Callithrix jacchus: one gene and its partner. The protein of the gene in region 2 purifies or fractionates together with the protein of the main gene of each other region. This does not show direct contact. Links are inferred from orthologs where the notes say so. Each region holds a gene or a part of one and is shown on either strand. Other genes may lie near its edges.

Region 1 (7,293 bases), on a different chromosome or scaffold from region 2:
CACCCAGTGCTGGGGGACTCAAACTCTTCCTTTTTTTATTTTTATTTTTATTTTTTTGAGACAGAGTCTCTTTCTGCCACCAGGTACCAGGCTGGAATGCAGTGGAGCGATCTTGGCACACTGCAACCTCCGCCTCCCAGGTTCAAGCAATTCTCCTGCCTCACAGCTTCTTGAGTAGCTGGGACTACAAGCTTTGTATTTTTCAGTAGAGACGGGGTTTCACCATGTGGGCCAGGATGGTCACAATCTCTTGACCTCAAGTGATCTGCCCGCCTTGGCCTCCCAAAGTGCTGGGATTACAGGCGTGAGCCACCATGCCCGGTCTCAAACCCTTCCTTACTCCTGTCACCTAGGGACAGAGGATAAGTGACTTAACAACTCTGCCTCAAATTCTGCAACTGTAAAATGGCCATGATAGGCATTTCTCTTCACAGGGATGCCAGGAAGATGAAATGAGATGAGGCACATTTGTCACTAAACAGTGCCCAGCCTAAGTAAGCTGTCAGTCAACGCTAACCACGACTATCACAAGCTGACCACCACCAGCTGCCCAATTACGGAACACACCATTACACTCCTTCATGCCCCCAGGTCAGGTCTTTGCACAAGCTGTACCTGCTGTGTGAACCACCATTTCTCACCTTGTCTAAGAAAATTCTAAGTCACTCTTCACTTATGCTGTGTCTGATGGCTAGACCAGCCTGCAGACTCCTCCAGGGACTGGTCTGGCTGGAATCTTCTTTGACCCAGAAACTTTTCTCTGTGCTCCCACAGTGCCCTGAGTTTCTTTCTTTTTATTCCTTTTTTTTTTTTTTTTGAGACAGGGTCTTGCTCTGTCACCCAGGTTGGAGTGTAATGTCACAATCATGGCACACCACGGCCTCAACCTCCTGGGCTTAAGCAATCCTCCCCCCACTCAGCCTCCTGAGTAGCTGGCACTACAGGCATGAAACACTACACATGGCTAATTTCTAAATTTTTTATAGAGATGGGGGCCACCTATGTTGGCCAGACTGGTCTGAAACTCCCGGGCTCAAGCGATCCTCCTACCCTAGCCTCGCAAAGTAATGGAATTACAAGCATGAGCCACTGTGTCGGGCCCTGAGTTACTTTCTTTCTTTCTTTTTTACTTCTTAGAGAAAGGGTCTTGCTCTTTTACCCAGGGTGGAGTGTCACTATGCAATCATAGCTCACTGCAGCCTCAAACTCCTGGACTCAAGTGACCCTCATGCCTTAGCCTCCTGAGTTATTAGGATTACAGGTATAAGCCACTGCACCTGCCTCCCCCGCCCGTACCCTGAGTTCCTTTCATCATCAGGCTGTCGGATCATTTTTCCCATTACTTGTCCATGAGATCTGTGTGTTCCAAGACCAAATGGGACACCTGTCTCTTCCAGGCCCAGGACAAATTTGGTTTAGAAGGGATGGGAGGCAGTGGCAAGGAAGGAGGAGAGTTTGGGAGGGCAAGCCTGGACTCGAGACTGCAAACTCTTCTGTGACAATCCCCAGAATCTGCCTGTCCCCATAAAGCTGCCCTGGGTGGCGTGAGGATTGGGACAATGAGCCAAGGGCCCTGGGGTGACTGTCTCTCCTTTGCCACCTCCCCCCAGCATGGGATGTGGAACAAGTCCATGTCTCTCCTCCCCTCCACCATTTCCCCCATCTCACCTGAGCCTCCTGCACCTTCCCTGCCTGGGTCTCCAGAGGGTGAGAGGCTGGGGGAGGGGAGCAGAGGTGGTTACAGTAGGGAGAACGATTAAGGGGGGAACACAAGGGTTCAAATTGTCAGTGAGGGGGCAAGAACACCCACCAACCTAGTTACACTGGGACGGGGTGGTGGTAAAATTGGAGCAGAGGGAAAGAGGGGATGGGAGAAAATATCTTATCCGCATGCAAAGTGGTGCCCGGGGAGGTGATTAGTGAGGGGCAGAGAGGCTGGGGAGGAAGATTTAGGAGGACAGGGAGAAGTAGGGGCTTTTGCCCAGGCTGGTCTTGAACTCCTGGGCTCAATCGATCCAACCACCTTGGCCTCCCAAAGTACTGGGATTACAGGCATGAGCCATTGTGTCTGGCCCTGACTTTCTTTGTCTTTTACTTTTTAGAGAAAGGGCCTGGCTCATGTCACCCAGGCTGGAGTGCAATGGTGCGATCATAGCTCACTGCAGCCTCAAACTCCTGGGCTCAAGCGATCCTCCTTCCTCCTGCCTAGGGGATTCAGGGCATGAAGGAACACTCAGGAGGAGTTAGGAAGGACGCAGCAGTGTGAGTGTGTGTGCGGGAGGGTTAGGTTTACAAGGCAGAGGGAAGTTTAGAAAGGAAGGGAGAAGGGAGGGGACGCTTCGGCTGGGAGGCAGGTCTGGGAGGGAGGTGCAGTGGTGCAGTGGAGGCGGTAGGTTTGGGAGAGGCGCGGATACGAAGGGAAGCCATAGGAGGGGACAACAGGGGTCCCTCAGCATCCTCCGGTTGCCTCTAACAATTAGGTACCCTTAGCAACAGGGACCGCGGCAACTTAGGTTCTTTGCAGCGAGGGTCCTCAGCAACCAAGATACGAAAAACACGCCATTATTGGCAACTTGGCAAGCGGATGTGATAAACCAACCCCGAACAACCTGCGACCCAGAAACCCACCAGCCTAGCGATACAGATCGCTTAGCAACAACCCTCAGAATCCCACTATCCGAAGCGCTCCCTACTTCCCGCCCCGCAGCGGCCGCCCTCGGGCCCCGGGGCCTGCAGCCTTCAGCTAGGCCCCGGCGCGGCCCGACCCTCCCACCCGGGTCCCCGACTCACGGTCTGGCTCTGCCATGGGCACGGTGCTGAAGCCCTCGTGGCTGTCACCGATCGCTCTGTCCCGTCACCAACCACTGTGTCCCGTCACCGACTGCTCTGTCCTGTCACCGACTGCTCTGTCCCGTGACGGCACCAGAAATGGGAGTGGCCGGGATAGGGCTTAGAACTACAACTCCCAGTAGCCATTGCGGCAGAAGCCGCGCTTTCGTACGACAGCCAGAGCGCCCCAGACTTAGGTAAGAAAGCGCGCTAGGGCCGGACTTCGAGTCCCAGAAGGCGCGGCGTCAGCAGCCATGTTGGTAAAGGGCGCCCGGAAAATGTAAAAACGGCTAGTGAGTCGTAGTCCTCCCAAATACTCTGATTGGTCACGATATGGTACCAGGGTAGGGCGCGAGCGATTCAGCATATTATCATTGGATGAATTAGGGGGCGTGGTGGGGAATTTCCCGCAGGGCGGAAGCGCCAGAACTGCCGGCAAAGCCCAGCTCCAGGCAAGCGACTGCGGGGGGCCCCTGAGGTGGCGGGGGCCATGGCTGGGGTCGCGTGCTTGGGAAAAGCTGCCGACGCAGATGAATGGTGCGACAGCGGCCTGGGCTCCCTGGGTCCGGACGCAGCGGCCCCCGGAGGACCGGGCTTGGTCGCAGAGCTGGGCCCGGGGCTGTCGTGGGCGCCCCTTGTCTTCGGCTACGTCACTGAGGATGGGGACACGTGAGTGAACCTTAGGTTGCCAAACGGAGCCCTAGGACCCGGCGTCTGATTCCCCATTAGTTTCTGATCCCTGAGGCTTCCTAACCTCCTACTCCTAAATCTGATTTCCGATGCTGAACTTCCTGACCTGTAACCCCTGAGTCCTAACTTTTAACAAAACCAATCTTCTATCCAGCTGTGATGCTAACCCAATCATTTCAGACCTTCCTTTCTTGAACTATGATTCTCAGCTCCTGGAATCCACATTCTGTCCACGGATACCCAAACCCGACTCCAGTCCTGAGGCTTTTGTTAGAACTGTGGCTTCTCCTGACTTCGAACCTCCAAATATAATCTTTGATTCTTAGTTCCTGATGTGAGCCTTAGACTGATTTCCGAAATTAATACTTGGTCCCTGACTCTAAGATCTTGTTTTCTGAGCAGTGTTCTTCAAGTCTTAAAAGAGTGAGAATGTAAGTTCTCCTATGTTGAATTCCTAATTGAAGTAGAAAAATAGAAAAAGAAAAAAGAATGTAAGCTCCATGAAACCAAGGATTCATCTGTTGAACAAATATTCTTTACATATTACCACATTCCAGGCTTCGTTTTAGGTGCTAGTGATAAAGGCAGTGAAGAAAACAGACAAAAAACTAAAGCCCTTGTGAAGGAGACGTTTTATTTTAGTGGGGCTAAACAGATTGATAAGACAGCAAGGAAGGAAAGAAACAGAAAGACAGAAAGAAACAAAGACATGCAGAAAGAAAGACACAGAAAGTAAGAGAAGGAAAGAAAGTCACAGGTTGTCAGTACTTTGGAGAAAAATAAAGCAGGAAAATGAGGCAATAGATAAACAAGATAAGAGCATTTCAGGCAGAAGGAACTGCAATTGCAAAGGCCCAGATGAGGGACTGTACTGGGTTTTTTTGTCTGTTGTGTTTACTGCCCTATGCCCAGTGATGCAGGCAGTGCCTGTCCCAGGAAGCAGTTAATAAATACTGATCTTACCAAAGAACCAGCTTTAGGTTTATTAATTTTTGTTAATTAATTTGGTTTCATTAATTTTATTTTAGTTTTCAATTGGTCTTTGATTCTTAGCTCACTCCAAAGTGTGAGCTACTGCGCCTGGCCAACAACTCTGTCCTGTGACTCTTGCAAGCCTGGTCTCTACAGACTCTTCCTCCATGTCCATCTCCTGACCTCAGACAACCTGATGGGCTCTGCTTGGGGTCCCCTCTCTCAACCGTGGCTCTCAAGACCATAAGCTGTGGCAGTCAAGTGTAGGGCCCACCTCATGTTTCCTGTCTTTCGGGGGCCACTGTGATTCATTGCATGACGTCCAGCGTCTTCAACACTGTTGCTTCATATACCGTATTGCGTCTGATTTTTCTTTGTTTCTTGTGGGAGGGAAGTCTGGTCCATGTTACTTCATTTTGGGCAGAAGTGGAAATCCCACTGAATAAACATTGTTGGTTCCACAAATTTGCTGATGAAACTCTGACCTCTCTGACCCTCCCAGATAGCTGACAGTGGGTTCCAGAACTGTGGTCCCAAAGCCTAGCATACAGTAGCCACCCCATGTTTGTTGAATGAAGGAATGCAAGAGGACTTGAATTTTGCCCTCTGACCCCAGTCTTTGTCCCCAGGGCACTGCATTTGGCTGTGATTCATCAGCACGAACCCTTCCTGGATTTTCTTCTAGGCTTCTCAGCCGGCACTGAGTACATGGACCTGCAGAATGACCTAGGCCAGGTGAGCCACGAGGGGATGGAGTAGGGGTTGGGGTCTGGGGTTCCCAGTGTGACTCCCTACTGCCTGTCCTCTGCTTCTGCAGACGGCCCTGCACCTGGCAGCCATCCTGGGGGAGGCATCCACGGTGGAGAAGCTGTATGCAGCAGGCGCTGGGCTGTGCGTGGCAGAGCGTGGGGGCCACACGGCGCTACACCTGGCCTGCCGTGTGGGGGCACTTGCCTGTGCCCGTGCCCTGCTTCAGCCCCGCCCTCGGCGGCCCAGGGAAGCCCCGGACACCTACCTCGCTCATGGCCCAGACCACAATCCCGACACCAACCATACCCCTGTCACCTTGTACCCCGATTCTGACTTGGAGAAGGAAGAAGAGGAGAGTGAGGAGGAGTGGAAGCTACAGCTGGAGGCTGAAAACTATGAGGGTGAGGGTCGCCACCAGGGAAGGACTGAGCTCCCAGGCTAGGTGAGAGCACCTGGCCCTGGGCTCTCTTCCCTGATTCCAGACCGAACTCCTTGGGAAATCACGCCTAGGCTTCAGGAACCCAGGCATCGGGACCAGGGACCTCCACTCAGGGCCCAGATGATTGACAATTGGATATGTAAGACCCAGGATTCCCACTTGGAGGCCCCAGATCACTTGGGACGCAGACCTGGCACTCATAGACCCAGAGCTGCCAGGATCCAGTTGCTGGGCCCTTGGGCTCCCCACCTGCAGGGTGTATTCAAGCTGGTATCCCTACCCCACCTAGGACCAGGGAATGCAGAGCTCAGGCCCTCTGGGAAACTCTGGCACCCCAGGTTCCCAGTGATGGGCAGCAGGGACAGCCCTCCTCTGCCTCATGGGAAAAAGGAGTCACCTGCCCACAGCCTGGCATCCAAGTTTCTGCTCCCTCACCTATAAGCCTGCCCACCTGGTACCAGACCCCTCCTCAGATGGACTGAGGTCGTTCAGGACCCATTGTTAAGGGCCTGCATCTCACCCCCAGATCACAGGCTTTTCAGCCACTTGGTAGCCCCCCCTTTTTTTTTTTTTTTTTTTTTTTTTTTTGAGTCGGAGTCCCACTCTCCACCAGGCTGGAGTGCAGTGGTGTGATTTCAGCTCACTGCACCCTCCACCTCCTGGGTTCAAGCAATTCTCCTGCCTCAGCCTCCGGAGTAGCTGGGACTATAGGTGCCTGCCACCACACCCGGCTAATTTGTGGATTTACTAGAGATGGAGTTTCACCATGTTGGCCAGGATGGTCTCGATCTCCTGACCTTGTGATCTGCCTGCTTTGGCCTCTCAAAGTGTTGGGATTACAGGCATGAGCCAGCGCACCAGCTCAGGTCCTTTGTGAATTAAGAGCAGAGACTTAGGTCTCCTGGCCCCAACATCCCAGCCCCCCATCCACAGACCCCAGGCTCTTCACCCATGAGCCCCAGGCTTCTCAAAGCCCAGGCTCTAGCACTTGCCGGCAAGCTAAGGCCATCCGACACACACATTTAGGACCCAGGTACCTCTTTGACATACCCAAAGGTTCAGGAACCAGCCCCACACCTGATCACCCTCAGGCCACGTGGTCCTCCCCCAGGATCAAAGCATGGGGGACCCCTCACCCCATCATCTGATGCGTCACTCTGTCCCCAGGCCACACCCCACTCCACGTGGCTGTTATCCACAAAGATGCAGAGATGGTCCAGCTGCTCCGAGATGCCGGAGCTGACCTCAACAAACCGGTGAGCACCACCCTGGGGGAAGCTGCTGTCGTCAGGAGGGGGCTGGTCCCCTCCTTGGGCCCTCTGACCCTTCTGCTGCACCCACAGGAGCCCACGTGTGGCCGGAGCCCCCTGCACTTGGCAGTGGAGGCCCAGGCGGCCGATGTACTAGAGCTTCTCCTGAGGGCAGGTGCCAACCCTGCTGCCCACATGTACGGTGGCTGCACTCCCCTGGGCAGTGCCATGCTCCGGCCCAACCCCATCCTTGCCCGCCTCCTCCGTCAACACGGAGCCCCTGAGCCTGAGGACGAGGACGACAGACCCGGCCCCTGGAGCAGCAGTAGCGACAGCGACAGCGGAGATGAGGGCGTGAGTCAG
Region 2 (7,106 bases):
CGGGCATACATTCCTTTCCCTCCTTTATTGCGACATATGACTTGACTAGATCCCACAAGTTAGTAGATGTATATACTAATAACAGCTCATGGATGCCAGAACCTATAGATAACTGGGGCCCGTCTCGCCTTCAAGAGGAGAGAACAGTTATGAATATCTCCTTGGGATTTGAGCATCTATTTATTTGCTTGGGAAAAGCCAACAGTTGCCTACTTCCCAGCCATCAGTCTTGGCTGGTGATAGTGCTTGAATGTCATCACTCTGTGGCACAATTACATATGCTTTCTGGTCCTAGTATTTATTATAATGATTATGCTCCTGTAATCAAAGTTTACCACCCTCAAAAACCTATCTGTAAAGTGGATTGGACATGGTCTGAAAAAATGAATGTATTTTCCTGGGAAGACTGTATCACAGGGCAGGCAGAGGTGTTGCATAGTGATTCATATGGAGTCATTATTGACTGGTCCCCTAAAGAGGCATTTATGAGGCCCACCTCTCAGTCTGTAGGTATTGGTCACCCTGCATCTAAACAAAATGATCAGAGGGTGGAAACCATAAGAAGTACAGCAAAAGTTCCTATTATCTGGGCATAATGGTGGTATAGTGGAACCTCAACTTCAAATGATATGGCCAGTTGTAGAAGCCAAACATAAGGAGTTATGGAAAATATTAATGGCACTGAAAAAGGTAAAGATTTGGGAAGGAAAACACACTAAGCCAACCCAATATAATTTTAATTACATGTTAGAATTGGTTCACAATTATACAGTCTGGATATAGAGTTGCATCCACCCCCTTTCCTGCTTGTGATGGGCGATTTAAAACTTGATCTCCCTAATAATCATGTGACTTGATTTGTCAAGAATGTAGATTGTTTTCTTGTGTGAATTCTTCCTTGTATAATACTGATTATTCCATTTTAGTGGTAAGAGCCCAAGAAGGAGTATGGATATCTGTGAAGCTTTCCCATCCTTGGGAGTCCTCTCCTTCTGTGCCTATTATTACTGAAATTCTTCAAAAGATCTTGAGGCACTCTTGGTGTTTCATTGCTACTTTAATCATTATGGGACCGATTGCTGTCCCAGCTACTGCTGCAGTAGCTGGAGTTGCTTTACGTTCAACAGTGCAAACAGCAGACCAGCAGACTATGTAAATACATGGGAGAAAATTCTGCTCTGCTGTGGAATTCTCAAACTAAAATAGATCAGAACATAGCTAATCAGATTAATAACCTCCGACAAACTGTCGTATGGTTGGGAGATTGAGTAATGAGTTTAGAATATAGAGTGCAACTGAAATGTGATTGGGATACTTCTGTTTTCTGTGTTACTCCTCATCTTTATAATGAGTCAGAACATGAATGGGAAAGAGTTAAGAGACAGTTAAAGGCTCATGCTGACCAGAGAGGTCCATCTACATACTCAGTGTTTGGTGAATTCCTCTCCTGACCTTGCTGCCTCTAGAAGTGTTCAGGTGGAAATTGGGAGGTATATAAGAGGCAATGTGGCAGGAGACGGTGGCTCACGTCTGTGAGCCAAAATAGGACCACTTCAGTCCAGGAGTTTAAGACCAGCCTGGGCAACATAGTGAGATCCATCTCTACTAAAAATTTAAAAATTCACCAGGTGTGATGGTGTGCACCTGCAGTCCCAGCTACTCGGGAGGGTGAGAGGATCGCTGGACCCTGGAGTTCAAGGTTGCAGTGAGCCATGATCAGTCCACTGTACCCCAGCCTGGGTGATAGAGCAAGATCCTGTCTCAAAACATAAATAAATAAATAAATAAATAAATAAATAAATAAAATAGGCCGTGCATGGTGGCTCACGACTGTAATCCCAGCATTCTGGAAGGTGGAGGCCAGCGGATAACCTGAGGTCAGAGTTCGAGACCAGCCTGGCCAACGTGGTGAGAGAAACCACAAGGAAAATCCAATCTACTAAAAATATATAAATTAGCCAGGCATGGTGGCGGGCGCCCACTCGGGAGTCTGCAGCAGGAGAATGATTTGAACCTGGGAGGCGGAAGTTGCAGTGAGCCGAGATCGCCTCACTGCACTGCAGCCTGACACTAAAACAAGAGGCAATTTCCCACAGCAGTGGAAGTTTGAGCTGTGTAAACTCCGGATGCCTTTTCAGTTCTAATAATCCAGATCTCCGTGCTGAATAAACACTTCATTTCCCTTCTCCTGCGCAGAGCTCCTGAGTTGTGGCCCTTTGGGAACCTGCCACCTTTTAAAGTGTCCAAGGTTGGGACTGTCTCTCTGGGAGCCCTGAGGCTGATGAAACCGAGCGAGAGGGGTCCGTGCCGTTCAGTCTCCTCAAGGCCCCAGGGAGGCCACCAGAGGGCACCGCCGGGACCGACCGCAAGAGCAACTTCCTTCCTCTTGCGCTAACTTCCCGGCAGCCGGCAGCTAGCCGCTCCGGGCAGGGGCCGCCGGCTTCCCCCTGGAGTTCCCCAGCTTCAGAGAAAGCCAAGCTTCAGGCGCAGCGAACGCTGAGCAGGAGCAGAAGCTCCGGCCTGCCCGGGGTGGCGCTGGGTCGGCGGGTGCCTTCTCGGGGGTCCCCGGCCGTGCTTGCGCCTGGTGGCCAGTCACCCAGCTCCTCGCCCTGAGCGAGCCCGACCCCTCCGGGCACGCCCGAGTCGCTCCGGGTTGGCTGCACCAGCTCAGAGTTAAACTTTCAGCCAATGAAAAAGGGCATGGGGCATGACACACGGAAACGTCATGGGAATTCCCCCTCGGGGGTTCGAGAAGGGGCTTTCCCGGCCCCGAGCCCTGTTGGCTGGCGAGGTGTCTTGGTCGGTCCCAGGTGGGTCGGGCGCGGAGAGAAGCCGGAACCGGAGCTGCCGCCGCCACGGTGAGTGGCTGGGTTCAGACCCCTGGGTGGCCGGGACAAGAGAAGAGCGGGAGGAGGGCCCTTAGTGGACAGCGCCGGGGCTGGAGAGCAGCAGCTGCACACATCCAGAGAGGACGCGCAGGCGACGACACTCGGATCCACGTCGACACCCTCGTACAAAGACACGCGGACCCGTACGTACACCTGCGCCTGTGCTGGCGCACACACATGCACTCGGAGACGCGCCCGCCAGTGCACTGGTACCTGCACCCACACCCTCCATGCACAAACTCAAGATACACTCACCTGTGCCTGTACATTAAGACAGGCGCTGACCCGCACCCACAGTGAGAATCTCGGGACTCACCTGTGGACACATATGCTCGCTTGCACACTCATGTTGACGCCATGCACACACAACATGCACCCAAGCACTACAGCTGAAACTTGCAGAGTTGTGATGGAGACACACGCTCGTATTGGGTGGGAAGCGTGCAGAGGTTTCGCTGTTGCCTGCGCGCCCAGAGCCAGTGCGGTGTGGGACCAGCAGCTGTTGTGAGGTTTGGGAAAGAAAAGAGGAGCCTATCCCAAGGAGGAGACACTTTTCCCGCGGCCCCAGAATCGCGTTTTTGGGGCAGAACCCCAGGGCCTCCCCCGGGAGAGCCCCCGCCTACAGGCAGTTCGAAGAGGCCTCAGGAATGTCCCCCCAAAAGCCCCCGGGGTTTATCAGCCTCCCTCATGACAGAAAATCCCAAGGTTGCTCCAGACCATGGGAGGGGAGCGGGAAGCGGACTTGGCCCCAGACTGCCAGCCTCCCCAGGCTGTGAAGGACCCTCCTGTTCCCTTTCCTGGAGGGAGGAGGGAGCTTAACTCCCACTGGAGCTTCCTGGATTCTCCTCGCCCTCTGCCCCCAGCTCTTCAGCGGGCACCAACTGACCGGCGAGGACCTCTAGCCCCTCCCGTCGTGAGGGCGGGGAAAGTGGCGTCATTTCCAGGCCCGCCCCCTCCGGCCCCGCCTCCCCCTGGTATTTTCGGGACTTTCCTAAGCTGCTCTAACTTTCCTGCCCCTTCCCCGGCCAAGCCCAACTCCGGATCTCACTCTCCACCGGATCTCACCCGCCACACCCGGACAGGCGTCTGGAGGAGATCGGACCCTCCCCCAAATCTGGGCCCCCATCTTCCGCCCACCCCCACTGTAGATCTGACCCCCTCCCCTCCACCACTCCTCCCAACTTTAGGCTGGCGCCTAAAATTCTGGGAAGCAGAACCTGGCCGGAGCCACTAGACAGAGCCGGGCCTAGCCCAGAGACATGGAGAGTTGCTACAACCCAGTGAGTCACGCCGCCTGGCCCCGACCCGGCCGGCTTCCCCCCCTCGCCCCCCCCCCCGTGTCTGTCCACCGGTCTACTGGAGCCCCCTCTGCTGCCTTACACCTGCATGCTCACAGGTGCCAGTCTGTCCATCTGTCTGCAACTCTGCTTCCAAAAGGAGCTTTCTCTTATGCCTGAGGAGGAGGGGCGAGTGACCACTGAGGACTTGGAGATGGGAGGTGGGGCGTGGGGCACTGAGAGTCAGATGCCACCCCCAGTCTCTCACCAAACCAGGGTCTGGATGGTATTATTGACTATGATGATTTCAAATTGAACTCCTCCATTGTGGAACCCAAGGAGCCAGCACCAGAGACAGGTCAGTAAGTTCACTAACCTCCTCTAGTCCTAAAGGAAGGGGGAGGGAGAGCATGTGCCCTCTGCCTGGGGGAGGGGCTTGGAGATCGTGGCTCAGCTAGGTCTCTCTGTCCCCAGCTGATGGCCCCTACCTGGTGATAGTGGAACAGCCTAAGCAGGTGAGTGAGCAAAAGGGAGAGTGTGGAATGCTTTCAGCTTTGGGGACAAATGGGGTAGTTGTAGCTAGCTGCAAGCAGTGACCATCTAATCCCCTGTGGCCTCCTTGGACAAGGACATGGAGGGGTCCTTGTCCAAGGAGGCCACAGGGGATTAGATGGTCACTGCTGCTGATCATTGGGCTGTGGTTGTGGGTCAGGGCAGATACTACCAGGCACTGTGGTCACTGCTGGCCAGGGTATGGCTGGCTGGTGGAGGAGGGGTCTTCCCTGATCAGAATGTCACTCTGCCCTTGGACCTTCAGAGAGGCTTCCGATTTCGATATGGCTGTGAAGGCCCCTCCCATGGAGGGCTGCCTGGTGCCTCCAGTGAGAAGGGCCGGAAGACCTATCCCACTGTCAAGGTGAGCCAGGATGGTGCTGGAGGGTGGGCTGAGTGGACAGCACACCCAAGACCATGACTGACAGTCCCCGCCCCTCCTAGATCTGTAACTATGAGGGACCAGCCAAGATCGAAGTGGACCTGGTAACACACAGTGACCCACCTCGTGCTCATGCCCACAGTCTGGTGGGCAAGCAGTGCTCGGAGCTGGGGGTCTGTGCCGTTTCTGTAGGGCCCAAGGACATGACTGCCCAGTAAGTGCCCTCTACCCCTGACCCCCATGGGATTGCCCCACATTGCCTGCCAGTCCTAGGCCCCAGCCCACCTCTGTGAGCTTAGCATCTTACCAAGGGGAGAGCCTTAGGTTGGTCCCCAAACCCAAGGGCCCAAGTAAAATCTACAATGGCTTCCTTGAAGAGGCTGAGCTGAGCCCTGGCAATGGGGAAGATGCCTCAGGAAGGAAGAGCTGCATGGGCCAAGGCCTCTGATTCCCCCTTCTCAGATTTAACAACTTGGGTGTCCTGCATGTGACCAAGAAGAACATGATGGAGATTATGATACAAAAACTTCAGAGGCAGCGGCTCCGCTCCAGGCCCCAGGGCCTTACAGGTATGGGTGCAGGCGGGTCATGGGAGGTGCTCATGGAAGGAGCAGGGAGAGAGAAGCCCAGGTGTCACACATGTGCCCACTGCCCAGAGGCTGAGCGGCGGGAGCTGGAGCAGGAGGCCAAAGAACTGAAGAAGGTGATGGACCTGAGTATCGTCCGGCTGCGCTTCTCTGCCTTCCTTCGAGCCAGTGATGGCTCCTTCTCTCTGCCCCTGAAGCCAGTCATCTCCCAGCCCATCCATGACAGCAGTGAGTATCCTGACTGCCTAGGGTGCCAGGCCTGGTGGCAGAGGTAGCATGAGGGGTGACCTCAAGCTGTGGAGTCAAATAGGCCTGGGTTTCAGAACCTGGCCCTGTCACATATGAGCCGAGTGATCTTGAGCAAGTCATTTTCCCTCCTGAAGCTTCTGTTTTTAGTAAATGCATACATTGGGTGGTTCCTGCAGCACCTGGGTTGCTGAGACAACGAATACAAAGCACTCAGCTCCTTAAATGTGGCCATGGCTTTGGCATCATCTCAGCTAATCCATATCCCACCCCAGAGTCTCCGGGGGCATCAAACCTGAAGATTTCTCGAATGGACAAAACAGCAGGCTCTGTTCGGGGTGGAGATGAAGTTTACCTGCTTTGTGACAAGGTGCAGAAAGGTGAGACTGGAGCCCAGGCTGGGCGCCACGGACATCCAGTGGACAACTGAGGCCAGGGAAGCTCTTGGGTAAATGGCCCCAGAGATTTGCACCAGGAGCTGCGGCCAAGCCTCCATTTTCCTTGTAGATGACATTGAGGTTCGGTTCTATGAGGATGATGAGAATGGATGGCAGGCCTTTGGGGACTTCTCTCCCACAGATGTGCACAAACAGGTACCCAGGGCTAGGGCCCCGGCTGGGGGCTGAATTAGGCTAAGGACTCACTGACACCCTGTGTCTCCCTGCACCCCTCAGTATGCCATTGTGTTCCGGACACCCCCCTATCACAAGATGAAGATTGAGCGGCCTGTAACCGTGTTCCTGCAACTAAAGCGCAAGCGAGGCGGGGACGTGTCTGATTCCAAACAGTTCACCTATTACCCGCTGGTGGAAGGTGGAGCTGGGCTGAGGACCCCTGGGGGATGGCGGGGGGCCAGGCTGGGCTAGAAGAGGGTCTAGATGTGGGAGTGCATGAGCCAAGCCAGGAGTGTGGAAGCTCCCAGGGGGCGCTTCCTAGGAACCAGCCTGAGGGTTCTTCTGGGAAGGGCCCCTGAGGCATGATACAATAATTGGGCTCAATCTCATTTTCCTCTGTCCCCAGACAAGGAAGAGGTGCAGCGGAAGCGGAGGAAGGCCTTGCCCACCTTCTCCCAGCCTTTTGGGGGCGGCTCCCACATGGGTGGAGGCTCTGGGGGCTCGGCCGGGGGCTATGGAGGAGCTGGAGGAGGAGGTGAGGGAGTGCTGATGGAGGGAGG

Evidence for each region. The genes of interacting proteins can lie anywhere in the genome.
Region 1: the proteins of NFKB2 (region 2) and NFKBIB purify together in Homo sapiens (affinity purification with mass spectrometry; 4 studies listed by BioGRID and IntAct, counting the BioPlex papers as one, with this or other methods). This does not show direct contact. The link is inferred for Callithrix jacchus from reciprocal best matches to the Homo sapiens genes NFKB2 and NFKBIB.

The regions. Positions count from the first base shown.
Region 1 is NC_133523.1:34,459,167-34,466,459, forward strand, and holds the start of NFKBIB (NF-kappa-B inhibitor beta), read left to right. Parts: upstream 1-3,226; 5' UTR 3,227-3,319; coding exon 3,320-3,498; intron 3,499-5,120; coding exon 5,121-5,226; intron 5,227-5,308; coding exon 5,309-5,642; intron 5,643-6,847; coding exon 6,848-6,936; intron 6,937-7,023; coding exon 7,024-7,284; intron 7,285-7,293. Other genes in the region: SIRT2 (NAD-dependent protein deacetylase sirtuin-2), read right to left, coding at 1,669-1,715, 2,791-2,806. UniProt on the Homo sapiens protein: Inhibits NF-kappa-B by complexing with and trapping it in the cytoplasm.
Region 2 is NC_133513.1:95,386,119-95,393,224, forward strand, and holds the start of NFKB2 (nuclear factor NF-kappa-B p100 subunit), read left to right. Parts: upstream 1-2,749; 5' UTR 2,750-3,031; intron 3,032-3,204; exon of another isoform or gene 3,205-3,319; intron 3,320-4,075; 5' UTR 4,076-4,147; coding exon 4,148-4,168; intron 4,169-4,441; coding exon 4,442-4,523; intron 4,524-4,639; coding exon 4,640-4,680; intron 4,681-4,982; coding exon 4,983-5,081; intron 5,082-5,161; coding exon 5,162-5,313; intron 5,314-5,561; coding exon 5,562-5,668; intron 5,669-5,755; coding exon 5,756-5,914; intron 5,915-6,111; coding exon 6,112-6,312; intron 6,313-6,439; coding exon 6,440-6,525; intron 6,526-6,606; coding exon 6,607-6,745; intron 6,746-6,952; coding exon 6,953-7,081; intron 7,082-7,106. UniProt on the Homo sapiens protein: NF-kappa-B is a pleiotropic transcription factor present in almost all cell types and is the endpoint of a series of signal transduction events that are initiated by a vast array of stimuli related to many biological processes such as inflammation, immunity, differentiation, cell growth, tumorigenesis and apoptosis.